2 linked regions of the Astyanax mexicanus genome follow. The protein of the gene in region 1 purifies or fractionates together with the protein of each later gene. This does not show direct contact. Links are inferred from orthologs where the notes say so. Each region holds a gene or a part of one and is shown on either strand. Other genes may lie near its edges.

The links.
Region 2: the proteins of mapk8ip1b (region 1) and map2k7 purify together in Homo sapiens (affinity purification with western blotting; 3 studies listed by BioGRID and IntAct, with this or other methods). This does not show direct contact. The link is inferred for Astyanax mexicanus from reciprocal best matches to the Homo sapiens genes MAPK8IP1 and MAP2K7.

What each region holds. Positions count from the first base shown.
Region 1 is NC_064423.1:8,535,686-8,543,595, reverse strand, and holds the start of mapk8ip1b (C-Jun-amino-terminal kinase-interacting protein 1), read left to right. Parts: upstream 1-4,636; 5' UTR 4,637-4,651; coding exon 4,652-4,755; intron 4,756-7,910. UniProt on the Homo sapiens protein: The JNK-interacting protein (JIP) group of scaffold proteins selectively mediates JNK signaling by aggregating specific components of the MAPK cascade to form a functional JNK signaling module. Required for JNK activation in response to excitotoxic stress.
Region 2 is NC_064428.1:26,978,093-26,986,175, reverse strand, and holds the start of map2k7 (dual specificity mitogen-activated protein kinase kinase 7), read left to right. Parts: upstream 1-4,941; 5' UTR 4,942-4,994; coding exon 4,995-5,142; intron 5,143-8,083. Other genes in the region: pkn1a (serine/threonine-protein kinase N1), read left to right, coding at 367-570. UniProt on the Homo sapiens protein: Dual specificity protein kinase which acts as an essential component of the MAP kinase signal transduction pathway. Essential component of the stress-activated protein kinase/c-Jun N-terminal kinase (SAP/JNK) signaling pathway.

The sequences.
Region 1 (7,910 bases):
TGTAACTTGAAAGTAAATTAAATCACTACATTTATACAAATAAAAGTACATTTGTAACACACTAAAAATTGTAGTACAGTATACTTATTAAATGTATTATAATTTTACACTAGGCATATTGAAAATATGCGGTTACATACATGAAGTAGTATGTTTAAATATTACTTCCATTTTAGTACATTTAAGTACACATTTTAGCACAATTTATGTAAGACTTTTGTACTGTTTTTATACAATTAAAGTATAATAAGTACAAAAAAGTTGTTCCATTTTAGCACTCTTTAAATATACTGATTAATAATGTGGCTACAAGTTCACTTTAGCATAATAATGCTAAGTATACTTGAATCTACTCGTACTTGCACACTCATAACATGTCTAGTCCTAGTAGAGAAGCGATGCCAATAGAATCACCATCCTCCAATATCTTGACCCCACCACCACCACTCTTATCACTAAACACAATCAAATCCTCACAGCACTGTTCTCCAATATCTAGTAGAAAGTCTTTCCTGGACAGTAGAGAGAAATAATGAAGGAGCAGCTGTCCCAATACTTCTGTCCAAATAGTGTATGTTACACAAATGAGAAATGTGCATTGGCGAGGGCACTCAAAGAAATAAGAAATAAAGACATTAGACCATTTTTCATTGATTTTTGCTATTTTTTTGTATTTGTTTTACTTTGGGAAAATTACATTCTTCAATAAAACATACAAAATATAAACTGCAAAACTGTTTTTATTCAGATTTGTGAATCAGTTTAAGTAATACACTAAAAGGACAAGATTTAAAGGAGTCAGTTCCAAAACTAAAGAAAACCCCGGAATCAGACCGGTTACTCTGTGCTTCAGTCTCAGAGACAGCTGCCCTACTAATGCTGCCCCATCAGTAACAGGACAGATGCTCAGAGGATTTATTTGCTCATTTACTTTACATAACGTTAGTGTAATTCCTGACAACAACAAAATCACTGAGTCACGTCAGTGTTTCAGTTTTACACGTTCTGTGACGATTCTCACTAAATCCAGTTACACAATAAAAGCTTTCAAATGGTGAACGTCCACAGAGGCCCCTGATTTAGGATTTATGTAATAGACAGTCACTTTATCAGAACAGAGAGCTCTTAAAATATCCTCCCGATTATTATATGTGAATGTACACAAGCCAAATTATCACTTTGTCGGCATCAATTTTCAGGCTTTTTTTTGGGCCTCTGAAGGAGTTCTGTTGTATCTGGCATCAAGACATAAGCAGCAAATCCTAAGTCCTGTAACTTCAGAGATTTGATTTCACACCTATCTACTTTTTAGTTTTATCTGAATTAAAATCAGGCGATAGTAGTGCAATAGTAGGTCCAAAATTTGGTCTGACCAAAAAAGGCGTTGTCGGTCCAGATCAGCTTTTCATGTTTCGGGTGGTTTACTTTCAGAACAATTATGGGAAGTTGAGTCAAGCTAGCGTCACCCATTTTACAATGGAAGAAGAAAAAGAAAAGGTGTTGTGATGAAATCTCTTCTTGGATATGTGCAGATGCGTCACACAGCAGTATGGCTACAACTGTATGCTGTAGAATACTGTAACTGTAGAATAACCCTTATTTATAAACAGAAATAAAAGGAATCCAAGGAGAACCTTTTACACTGGTTCTGCTGCGGTTTCTGGCACAACATCTGGAAAGGCAACTCACCGAACTTACTTATCAAAGCTCTTTAAGCTGCTCGCTAAATTGCAGTCAGTGTAAAACCAAAACTAATCAAACCAAATTAAACAATCAATTAATCAGCCCCTTACTGCAACTCCTATAGTTCACCTGCACCCACTTTCAGCCCTCACTCCAACTCCCATAATTCTCTTGCACCCACTATCAGTCACTCACTACAACTCCCATAATTCACCTGCACCCACTATCAGACCACTGTTTCACGCAAAAGGTGTGCTCTGGGTCCGGTCATGCAGCAGTATGAACACAAACGCTTAGACTGGGAATTAATTTATTTACTGTAACAGTAGATTAATCCTTATTTAGCAGCAGAAATGAAAGTGAGGATTATCTTTTACACACATGCTGCTGCAGAGAGCCTGTGTATGTAAAGAGCAATCAGATTCTGACAGAGAGCTAGAATTCGCCACAACACCTGGGAAAGCAACTCACTGAACTCATAAAAACACTCTACAAACACATAAATATAAAGTATAAAGAGACTCCGTCCTTGTGACTGATGACGACAAGATGTAGTAAAATTCTTTAGCCCGTTCACTAAAATGCAGTGTAAAAATAAGACTAACAGGACCAAATGAACAGAATGTAACAAACACATGAAGTTGCGTGCGGACACTGGTCCAGATATTTAGATTTGAAAAAAAAAAAAACACACTTAAATTGAACTTGGTTTCTGCTTGGCATTTAGAGGACTCATACACAGAGAAGTGGCACAGTGTGTGTGACTGGGCTCATCTATCTGCCAAAACACAGTGTGTGTGTGTGTATGAGATTGTGTTTTTGTGTGTGGAGAGAGGGGTCTTTATGTCATTGTGCTACTTTACCACACCCTTCCCTCTACCCAGGCTATGATTTATTTATTTACACACACACACACACACACACACAGAAACATTACCTCATACACCAATCATCAATAATAATGAGTTCAAGTCTCAGCAGTCGTAGTATTTATAAAAATGTAATGATGTACACATTTTAAAAACATTACAGACACACAAGACTGATTTTTCCTGTTTGATAAATGTAGCAAATTAATGCATGCTGTAGATTGTGTGTCATATTTTAGTTTATGATGCAGTTTAGGGTCTAGGACTAATGTGTCAGTTTGAATGTTTTTAAAATGCATATGATTATAATTTTTACTACGTTTCTCACCATGTTTATTTGTTATATATATCACCGATTCGAATCCTGTATCATGCTATTTCCCCATCAGCAGCCAGAGTCTGAGAGAGTACAGTAGATCATACTGCTTCTCTCTCTGGGTGGGTACAGTAGGTGGGGCTCTCTCCCCTCATCACTCCCGTTGTGATCCTGGTCAGTAGAGGCGTCTGTTAGCTGATGCATCAGAGTTTGGTTGGGCCTTTTTTTAAGCACACTAGATACCTGGTTATGATACCTGGAAGGTACCTGTATACCTGGACATGGAGGCTGACTTCACATGTAGCCGAAAGGGTGTGCATCTGTCCGCACCTTTCTAGTGTTGGAAGAACATTACTAGTGATGGGGAGAACTAAGAAGGGGTGGGGTAATTGGCCTTCCAAAACTGGGTAGAAAATGGATACAATTAAAGAAAATAAATTACTAATACACCACTGGAACACTGAAACACTGGAACATTGAAACACTAGAACACTGAAACACCGGAACACTGAAACAATGGAACACTGGAACATTGAAACACTAGAACACTGAAACACCGGAACACTGAAACACTGGAACACTGAAACACAGGAACACTGAAACACCAGAACACGGAAACACCAGAACATGGAAACACCGGAACACTAAAACACTGGAACACCGGAACACTGAAACACTGGAACACTGCAACATCAAAACACTGGAACACTGCAACACCGGAACACTGAAACACAGGAACACTGATACACCAGAACACTGAAATACCAGAACACTGAAACACCAGAACACTGAAAACTGGAACCCTGAAACACCAGAACACTGGAACACTGAAACACCAGAACACTGAAACACTGGAAAACTGAAACACCAGAACGCTAAAACACTGGAACACTGAAATACCAGAACACTGAAACACCGGAACACTAAAACACTGGAACACTGAAACACCGGAACACTAAAACACTGGAACACTGAAACACCGGAACATTGAAACACCGGAACACTGAAACACAGGAACACTGATACACCAGAACACTAAAACACCAGAACACTGAAACACTGGAACACTGAAACACCAGAACAACGAAATACCAGAACACTAAAACACCAGAACACTGAAACACTGGGACACTGAAACATCAGAACACTAAAACTCCAGAACACTGAAACACTGAAACACCAGAACACTGGAACCCTGAAACACCACAACACTGAAACACTGGAACAACAAAACACTAGAACACTAAAACACTGGAACACTGAAACACCAGAACACTGAAACACCAGAACACTGAAACACCAGAACACTGAAACACTGAAACACAGGAACACTAAAACAATGATACACTGATATAATGTGCAGCAATTCCAATCTATTTCTGTTATGAAATCAAAAAATGATAAAAATTTAATGTTTTTTTAGTCAGCAGGGGGCGATCTCACCCATATTATTTTTTACTAAATTGTAATATATACATATATATTTCTTTAACACGTATTTATTTGTATTAACATTCTTATCACCAGACTGCCTCTGTAAACAGCTGTGTATTTATTGAGGGAGTTTCAGCTGCGGCTCCGCGCGCGGGCTGATCAGACTGCTGGAGCTGTTGTTTAGACCCTGACGGTCCCTCATATTTACCTCGAGAGCCCCGGCGGAGAGGCGGAGAGCGGGAGCTGAGACAGCAGCCCCTCCCTCCGGCCGCAGCCCTCACTGCCTCCCGCTCCCCCTCCTCCTCCTCCTCCTCCTCCCTCCACGGAGCTGCTGCTGCTGCTCCTCCAGATGAATGGGAAGAGGGAAGGCATGGCGGAGAGAGAGCGGAGGAAGACCCCGGCAGCAGCGTCCAGCTCCCGGGCACCGCGCCTCGACTCCCCGGCCAGCTGCAGGTGAGAAGCCGCTGCTGCTGCGGGGATAAATGTGTGTGTAGTATGTTTAAGTGTAAGTGTGTGTGTGTGTGTGTGTCCCATCTCGTTTGCTGCCATCCCACCTGGGCTGTAGCAGCTGCTTGTTGATAGCGATGGGTCGCTGATAAGGGAGGAATCAGAGGAGTACAGGCGGTTTATGGGGTGTGTGAGTGTTTGTGGTGGTGTATGGAAGCAGATTGCAGGCTGTATGGGTGTGTCTCTGCTGTTGGGATGGGCAGATAAGGCAGAAGTTTGAAGGGAGAAGTGTTTTTGGAATGAGATGCAGGTTTGATTGGTACAGTGCAGAAAAAAATATATAAAAAAATACAAATATATATACAATAGAAATAAATGATAACAGTGCAGATTATTGTTAGAGTGTTAAGAAAATGAATATTGCTATTATGTGACTGAGGTAGCCGATAATAGATAATAAATAGATACTGAACTGAAATGGCGATTTATAGTTTATGCTACATTGTTAAGGAAAAAAAAGGTATTTTTCCAAATTGGGTCCACCTGATCAGCTCATGGCCCAGTCAAAGCTGCAGGAGGTTAAAGCAGAGAAAACACTAAAATGCTGAAAAAATACAAAGTCGGGGGATGCCAGCACCAGAACTGACAAATACTGGAGTAGGAGTGTTAAAGGGCCCATAGTGTAGGTTTAGTGGTGGGTTTAAATGGAAAATAAAATAGATATATTACTATTGTTATTGTTGTAGTAGAGACTGGTTCAATTTACCACTACAGTAGCTACTGAGCCAGTACATTTCTCTACAAACTGAACATTTCACACCAAAAACTCATTACGACATTACTTTGTTTACCTCCTAATTATTCATCCAGATGATTTTGAAGTGGTGTTATACATTGTTATATTGTACATTGTACATAATGCATTGTTTACAGGTAATTGAATTATGCATAAATTAAAATGAAGGTTCTCCACATTCTCAATCACATTATACACTGAAAACAGTGCATATGCAGGCTAGCTAATTAATAATGAATGGCCTAAAAATAAAATAGTAAAATCCCTAAACTCTATGGCTGATGTTAGGGCTGACAGTATATTGTGTATTGTTCAAAATGTGCAAATTAATTCCAGGAAAAAAACAAACATGTGTTGTTTGTGTAGAGAGTAGTGGTGTTTTGGAGGTATAACAGAGTAGAGTACAGATCTGTAGAGTACAGATTAGTGTAAATGTTGTAAAAACATCAAATATAAGGACAAAACATATTTAAGTGTATTACTTAAATACACAGTTATCTATTTGCTATTTACATAGCCATCATATATATTTTTATTGAGGAAGAAAAAAAGGGAAAAAATAAGTAATATATAGTATAAAAGCACAGGAATAATAGACAAAAAAATAAATGTACAAAACAAAATAAAACAACCCAGCACCCCTTTTTTCTTTTTCTTACCTTCCCCCTTTGTCTTCCTTTCTTTTTCTTCCTTCCCCTTTTTCCCCTCTGCTTTATCTTCCCTTATTTTTTCTTTCTTTCTTTCTAGGCCTTTACACCTTATTTAATTTTTTTTCTTTTAAACCCCTTTTAATATCGCCATTTATTGTCAAAGACTATCAAGTATGAAATATTTTAAATATTGATCGTTTTTCAGTCATATTGGCAGCCAGAGCTAATATAGCTCTCACATATAATTGGAGCATTTTAGAAGCATTTAGCATAATTATTTAACCAAAGATGTTTGTGGAAAAATTTACTGGTGGGGTTGGGAACTTGGCTGTGAGATGTGCAGAGATTTTGCCCTATAGAGTAAAACTGCTTAAACTGAAGTTCTTATTTAAGCGTCCCACAGAATAATGCATGATGCTGGATTATTTTTGTACCATTAAATTATAGATTCTGAGTGAAATGCTTTTAAATTTAGAGGTCATTAATTGCCGTGATCCATGCTTGCTCTATTCGAGGTGCACTGAAGCGATCAGCAGTTCTGCAGGACCATCAGCTTCATGTGTTTTGGCAGCCTGAAGCTTATACGCCATGTAACAGTGGAACCGCCTGCTACAGCAGGATTTGGGTAAACTAGGGGCCGGATATTAATTAGAAATGTTCTGAAGGAATCTGTCTCTGTACTGGAGTTAAAGTAAACGGCATGTACAGTGTATCTACTGTGCAGAGTTAGACTCCAGGATCAAACGGTTTCTGGAAGTCTCTGAGTTTAATCGCAATGTGCATTTCCTGTGTACGGTCTAATCCTGCAGTCTTACTGTAATAAACTACAGAAGGCCTCGTTTCAGAGCTCTCCACGTCCTGGCGTTCACCCAGACACGGGCATCTGCTCAGCTCCGTCTATATACAGTATCTCTGCAGGGTCACTCAGGCTGAATGGCCTTGTTTTTATACCCAGTAATAAGAAGACATTCCATCACAACAAGAGTCACAACCTAAACAAATCATTTATAGCACCAAGGGCCCCAAATTCTGCATCCTATTTTAAATGTATGTATTTATTTATATATATAATTAATATAACTATTTGCAGGTGCAGCTTTACTCTCAAATAATGATGTGATGATAGTGACAATTCTTTATCTTTATCTTTATCCTTAATCTAAAAAAAACTATAGACTGTTATACTGTTTCTATTACTATACCTTTAATGCTCAAATACATGTAAACAAGCTCTGTTATAATTGGCTCTGCCTTGCTGTGAGGATTTGATTGCATTTTGTGGCATTTTTACCTCTCTGGCCTATACCTGTCATTAGGCATGAAGCCAATCTGCTCATGATTGTCTGCTCCAGATAATACAGCTGTGTTTCCAGCTGTTTGAACTGGATTGAATTTTAACAGTGTTTTCTCACTGGTTCAATCCTTTAGCTCAGGACAGTGAGTAAAATTCAGTTTTACAGGAAAGTGATAACCTTTGAAGTGTTATCATCATCTGAAGAAGAATCGTCCCAGTATTTTTTAGAAGCTTTCTCAGTTCTGTCTTCAAAGGAAGGAAAGCTAATCAATAGGAATGCACCGATGCAGGAATTCTGAGATAATGTCCAATATTGTTGGTTTGTATCAGCAGATGACAAAACTTATAAAATGCAGATTGGCATAAGACAGCAATGGAATATACAGCTTTGAAAAGAGACTCTTTCCGTTTCTGAATCAGT
Region 2 (8,083 bases), on another chromosome or scaffold:
AACTTCGAGATCTTAATAAAGCAGTTCTTAATTTGTGGAAAAAGCTCAAGACATGCCTCCTTGTTTCCTGTACTGTCTGACTTGGACTCTGCCACCTAGTACACATTTTTCACTTCATGGTTTCATTATGTTTGCAGACATTTGAGTGAATGTCTGCATATGCATGTCCAAACACATTTGCAGATATGTAGGGACAGCAGTAGAACGGAGCTTTCAATAGGCATAAAATACCAAATTCTCCAGATACCACTACCTTTCAAACCTGAACCATTCACCTCTAAGCAAGTTGTGCAATCTCAATTTTTGCTTTGGAATTGTAAGAGTTTTTGATATAACGCGTCATCGCCATCTTTTACTTTCTTTCAGAATATGGATTGGGAGGCTCTTCTCCTTCGCAAACTCCCTCCCCCCTTCGTTCCTTCCATCGGAGGAAAAGAAGACGTCAGCAACTTTGACGAAGAATTCACGGCGGAAGCTCCTGCCCTCACACCGCCAAGGGAGCCTCGCACGCTCTCGCGCAAAGACCAGGACAGCTTCCGTGACTTCGAATACGTCTCCGACCTCTGTTGAAATTCTCAGAAGGAAGTTGTCAGAGATATCAAAGGTTGTACAGTCCAGGAGTCGTCCAGGGATGTTTATTATCTCTTTGACTGCGATCACGGCGGATCTGCACCATTACCACTACACTGTGACAGTAAAAGTTCGGCCATTGTGGATGGCTTGGTTTTTTTTTTTATGGATGCCAGAATGAAGATTGAAGAGACTACTATAGCTCAGTAAATGTGTGGAGTTTTTGTTTTTACTCTGGGATGGAGAACGGATTACGCTAATGAAGAGAAAATATTTAGAGATGGAGATTATGTGGACTACTCATCAAGAGAGGGGATGTAAAAGGCTGTCTGGCATATTCTCAATATAACGATAATGACACATAGAAATGTGAATTTCAGCTGAGAAAAAAAAAGAAAAACTTCAATGTAGTCTTTCTTATACTGCCTCTTTCTGTCTCTCACTTCTGCCTTTCACGTCAAACAAGTTCATCAGTAGAAGAACGGGACAGCAAGCAGCTGCCATTCTGACCTGGCCCAGTGACACTCGTTTACACACTGTGATTTTGGATTTTGAAAATGCCTTAACTTTATACTCTGTCCCTTTTGAGAATTTTACGTAGAATCTTTTAAGTATGTTAGTCAAAGGAACTGAAAAAAGAAGCCTTGAATGGACAATGATGATGAAGTGATGTGATGATGAATGAATATATATATATATATATATATACATACAGTACGGAGAATCATGAGGTCAAGATTAATACAAGCTAATGCTACGTACACTGCTTATACTGAAAGGTTTCATGTTTGAGAACAACAACAAGAACAACCTGAATATGGAATTGTGCCCACATTTAGGATTAAATGGGTTAAAGAATGACCATTAAAGGTGCTGTATATTATTCTGAAGAACAATTCTTGGTGTTTGAACCAAACTGTTGGTGTGCAAAACAAACAAACAAACTCCTCCCTTCAGGATGTTCAGAAATCTTGCAATCTTTTAAATACCTCACCAACGTTTACACATGCCGATGCCTTTCCCAGTCCTCGGCGCACACTTAAATGGCCCCTAATAATGTCGTGTGGCCCATTTCCCATTTACAAAGTAAGGCACCAAAATGTCAGAATCTTTTCCAACACATAAACAGACCAGGGAGTTAGGGAACTGTGAGGAAACATTCGCTGAATTATTTAAAATGTGTATTGGTGTATTAAAAATCGTATACAGTGCCTTTAATGGTGAGATTCAGTTTAGTACATTGACAGAGCATCTCTGAATATTGTTCTGGATAAGTTTTAAGCAAGTACTAGACACTGATTCAACACTTTTTTAAAGGCAGAGCCCTTCAGTGTTTTTCAACTTCAGCTTAATCTGCTGCATTGTTGACATTAACAGTCATTTTGATGCCTTTCCAGTAACCCTAAAGATCAGCTACAGCACATCTCTTTATGTGTTCGTCAGTAAAATTAGTAAAACGTCTAAAAGATTTTATTCTCTTAATATTATTCTAGCTAGTCAAAATGTGAATTATAGAGTTTTCCCTTCTAAAGTCTCCATTGCTCCACCAGCTGCTTGTATTTAGTAAAACTGAGCCGGATCGTCTTTTAGAGGCTGTACATTTGACATAAAGACGCGTGACATGGCCAGAAGAACTCCAGCGAAAAGCGACCAGACACCCAGTTTTTAGAATGAATATATATTAGGCTTAGGGGGGATGGTTGTTCCAGCGCACTGGTACCATTTAATACAATATTTTACCCCTTCTCCACTCAGAAATGCTTCAGCTTTCAGTTGAGAAACAAAATAATACGGACTGCCACTTTAAGTATTCTGTTACAAGGACACAAAGTCTCATTGATGTGGAGCACCACAATCAGTCTTGCTAAACATGCGTGAGTGAATAAGTTACAAGCCATTAGAGGCATCTACAAAAATGTTGCATCTCCAATATGTCAACTTTACCAGTTCCTAACTGTTCAAAGCTTTTTTTAAGGTAATTTTGTATACATTCATAGTTACGTTTGGAAAACTATATATATTATATCAATATGCAGATACAAGCTTTAGAAAGGCATTTAGATTATTGTTGATGGTGACTATCAAAGTGGTGGATAAAGAATGAATTGAAAACAAACTACTGAAGGATTTATTTTAAGAGTTGGACCTAATTAACTTTAAAAACTACAAGGCTGTGTAATTTCTGACAGAAACTAGGAAAGGAGTATAAATGTTTCAGTTTGTTTTGGTGGAAATTAGTCCCAATATTGTTTTCCTGTTTTAGCATTTTAAGCCCATTTTATTTAATTCTCTACTTTGAAACACTGGATTTTGCAATTTGTCATGAAGGGATTAATTCTGCAAAATAATGAAAAATCATACTTCAATACCACAAAAAATGAATACACTGATAAACATGTAGCACAAACTTTAATATGAACTTTGGCCTCCAAAATCAATGTCTGTTTATTACCCATCTTCGAATCAGAGACGACAACACTGCTTTTATGTGGACAGTAAAACTGTTGTCCGATTTTCCTGTGGTTTGCAGGTCAGTGTTGATGAATTGGTATGACTGTGTCCAGTATACTATTATATTACAATTCATCAGAACTCTGTGTTGAGCTGTATTTATAAAGACTTGTTGATAAGACTGCTGTGTTTGTGTGTGTTATTTTCTTATGTGTGTGAATTTTGGCACCTCTGTCATTTTGGATTTACGTTCCTGAGTAATCTTTTTCCTGGGTAAAGTTTTATATAAAATAATGAAATATCAGTATTGTTAAATGATTGTAAAAAGGCTTACATATCAAAAACAATATGTGGCTTGTATTTAAGGTAGGTAATAAAATATATAGGATAAATGAAGCTCTATACATTTTAAGAGGTTTAAATACTTATACAAATTTGAGCAATATTTGATGTCCAAATTTTAGTCTGTAAAATTGTTTCCATGAACTGACTGGAATCAAATTATTTATTAAAGAAAAATGTCCAACACCAAATGTAAAAGGACTCGTGGATAAAGAAATCACCAAAAAAAAAAACAGAAAATGGGTGGAAAAATAAATAAATAAATCTCCCAAGGAAATTCTCTTGGAAATGGTTAGGATAAGAAAAGGAGAGTTCCTGACAACTAGTGACAAAATTAAACAGAAAACAAATAAAATGAAGAGAAAAATAAATATTGCATGAAAATGGGTGGAAAACAAATATTTTTTGCAACAAAACAAATAAATAGGTGCAAACAAAAAAAGGGTTGGGGAGAAGAAATGAAAAAGAAATAAAAAAGGGTGGAGAAGAAGAATATCTTTGAAAAGTTACTTTATTTCAGTAATTCACTTCAAAATGTAAAACTCATATCATATAGATGTATTACACAGAGAGTGATCTATTTTAAGTGTTTATTTCTTTTATTGTTGATGGTTATGGCTTATAGCTAATAAAAAACCCAAAAGTCAGTATTTTAGAAAATTAGAATATTATATAAGACCAATTGGTACTTTGGCAGTGTGTCCTGCTGGAAAATGAAATCAACATCTCCCTAAGTTGTCAGCATCTGGCACTGCAGAATTTGACCTAGGATCTGGGTATACAGTCGTACACACATTCACATCAGTGCAATTTAGAGTATCCGATTTAGCGTAGGAGGAAACTGGAGTGCCCGGAGGAAACCTACGCGCACACATGGAGAATATGGAAACTACACCCAGATTGTGACTTGACCCCAGAACCCCAGCTCTGGAAGCTGAACGTGCAAACCACTAAGCCACCATGCTGCCCCATAGAAGCTGTATAATAACATAACATATTGTGAAAATATTGTTTTGTGATTATATTGTTCTGTTATAATATCGTATTTTGATATTGTACCGTACCATTATATTGTATCAAGATTATATTACATTGTGATATCGTGTTGTTGTAACATTGTATTGTGATAATATTTTATTTTGATAATATTGTATCGTGATAATGTTGTATTCTTAAGATATCATATTAAGATAATATTGTATAGTAATAATATTGTGTCGTGATAAAATTGTTTAATGCTATTAATATTGTATTGTGATAATAATATTGTATCGTGATATATTGTGATAATATCTAATTGTGATATGAATATCTAATTGTGATATTAATATTGTATCGTGATATATTGTGATAATATCGTATTGTGATATTAATATTGTATCGTGATAACAATATCGTTTCGTGATAAGATTGTATAGGGATAAAATCGTATCGTGATAATAATATCTTATTGTGATAATAATATCGTATCGTGATAATATCGTATCGTGTGGTTCCCTGCTACTGAATCGTTGCACCCTTTACAGCAGTGTGTGTGTTGGTGTGAGTCGGTGTGTGTTGCTGTCCTCCAGCACCGTCGCCAGGGGGGAGTGTATGTGTGTGTGTGCGAGTTTTAGAGCCGGGGCCGCTCGATGGTGCTGCTGAATTTTTCCAAGATGTCGTCGCTGGAACAGAGACTCTCCCGAATCGAGGAGAAACTGAAGCAGGAGAATAAAGAAGCGAGGAGGCGGATCGACCTCAGCATCGACATGAGCCCACAGCGCTCCCGACCCAGGCCGAGTAAGTGTCCGGAGGAGACTGCGGAGCCGCCGTGGTGGAGAGAGAGGCGGAATCGGGGGGAGCAGCGTTAGCTTAACCAGGCTACATAAACAAACACGGAGCTCTGATCAGACTGACAGCTGGTTAAAGACCTGGCAGAGCGCGGGCGCTGAGTAGAGCCTACTGGGTACACATATATAAACCTGTAGGTGAAGAATAATAGCGGAGAATGTCTAATTCGTGGTCATTTCGCTAGCTAACCGAGCTAACTAGCTAAATAACCGTTAGCCAGCCAGCTAAGTGACTGACTGACTGACTGACTGACTGGCTAAATTGATTAGCAGGCCCGCGTCCCAAGCCTCACAATATGACTCCAGCTAGTATCGTTAGGTTAGCTAGCGTTAGCTGGCTAACTGAGGACTTTAGGATAACGTAATATCTGTATAATATTATCAACTCTGAAAATTAATTTTCTGTAAATTCATTTTGAATCATCTGTGTGGCAGCGAATCCGTTTTTCGCTTCAGTTTTCTGACCCTTCTCAAGATAGCCACTAGCTAGCTAACCCCAGCTAACGAGACGCCTGACATAAACCTGGTAACGTTAGCTACCATGCTAATGCTAAAAACGTAACCTAGTAACTAACTAGCGAGAGAGTGCAGTTACTGTAAAAATAGAAGAGTATAAGAGTGCCCAAAAGCTTCTGACTAAATATTGGGGTCAAAAACATTTGGTTTAATGTTGGAGTCCAAAAAACATTCGAATACAAACAACGTTTGGCTGATAGATAGATAGATAGATACATACATACATACATACTTTATTTATCCCAAAGGAAATTTAGGTGATAGATGATATGAAATGATAGAGCTGTGTTCTCAATATTTTGGTTGAATGTTAGAGCCTAAAAGCATTGGCTAAGTGACAAAATGCACATATGTGTAGTTAGTATAGCTGTGTGAACAAGGTATTAGTTAGTTGGGGTCAAAAAACATTTAGCTAAATGTTGGAGTCCCAAGAACATCTGGTTAAATGGTGAAACATATATGCATATGGTATATAGAATTGTGTCTAGAAGCTTTTGGCTCAATTTTGTATAACAAAAACATTTGGTTAAATGTTGGAGTCCAAAAACATATGACTAAATAGTGGAATACAAAACAAAACGTTTGACTGGTAACATTAGAGCCGTGTTCACAATATTTTGGTTGAATGTTGAAGGGTGAAACGCATATGTTTGTTTAATAGAATTGTGTCCAGCAGCTTCTGGCTAAATATTGGGGTCTAAAATCATTTGGGTAAATGGTGAAACACATACTTTTGACTAAATGTTTTAGATCATTAACATTTAGCTGAATTTTGTTAAATGGTGAAACATACATGGGTTTATTTGATAGAATTGTGAGGCAAATTTTTGGTTAAATGTTCAGTAAGTAGAAATGTATCCATAAGCTTTTAGCTATTTATTGCGGCCCAAATGGTTTGTGCAAATGGTGAAATGCAGATATGTTTGATTTGTATAGCTGTGTCAACAAGTTATTGGCTAAATGTTTGGGTGCAAAAACATTTAACTAAATGTTGGGGTCAAAGAACATTTGGTTAAATGAAACCAATATGTTTTGTTAATATAATTATGTCCAGAAGCTTTTGGCTAAATGTTGGAGTTTAAAAACATTTGGTTAAATGTTGGAGTCCAGAAACGTTTGACTAAATAACGAAATACAAAAATGTTTGGCTGGTAGAGATGTGATCACAATATTTTGGTTGAATGTTAAAGCCCAAACGCATTGGCTAAATGGTAAACTGTAGATATGTTTAGTTAGTATTGCTGTGTCGACAAGGTATTGTCTAAATGTTGGGGTGCAAAAACATTTGGCTAAATGTTGGAGTCCACTTCTGATGAATGTATTTAGCTAGCTACCGCAAGTAGCTGTACCTATTGCTGACACAGATGTGCAAATGCACACACGCCACAGTGTGTTTAGTTTGTGTGGAGAACTATTGCCAATGGAATAAGATTCTCTGCAGCAGATAAACATGAACCTATTGGCACCATGCCCAATACCAGGCATTGACAAGAGGGGTGTTAAGCCTCACAGCATTAAACTGTGTGGCAGTGGAAGAACTGTGTTCTCTGGAATAATAATTCTTTATCTAATACTTTTAGCATGAGTTGGGAATGAGGAACAGTGGTAATCATCAAACATGATCAACCCATTAGCCCATTAATGCTTGTGTCACTGATTGCTATCAAAACCTTACAGCAGATCTCCTCCTCCACCTCCAAAATCTAGAAAGAACACTTTCTTCCATGAACAGTAGAGACAGGTCAGTTACTGCAGCAGTAAGTAGTCTTCTAAAAGGCTTTCACACTAATTGCCGGAGCATTGATGTGAGAATTTGATTATGTTTAGCCATCAGAGCAATAGTGAGGTAAGGTGCTGATGTTATATGATCAGTTGCGGATTATTTGATTTATTCTGACAAATCTCAAAGGTGTTGGGTGAATTATAGAGGATCTACAAGCTGTTACGTGCCTGTGTCAGCAATTTGCAAACCTTGACAGTAGCTAAATTCAATAATGTGATACATTTGGGCATAAAGTTTATCTTGGTCTTGGGTAGGTTGTGTAATTATAGATAATATTTGATGTGTCTTCTTAAATGTAATCTGTTCTCTCTCTAAACGCTTTAGTCTGGTGTGTAACCTTCCGTGTGTTTGATATCAGCATTTGTTTACATATTTCTGAACATGGGCATTTGCACAAAGCTGTGCAGAACATTTAGGTCCCTAGGCGCATTATTTAAAAGAAATTTTTTAACAATAACATTTTTGCTGTAAACAAAACAGCTACAGATCACAAAAAAACAGATGCAGGTACTCAAAAATAAATACAGTGAAAATAGCAACTTCTCATAAAAAAAAAAAAATTTGGTCTATATTTTCCTAAGCAAAAAAAAAA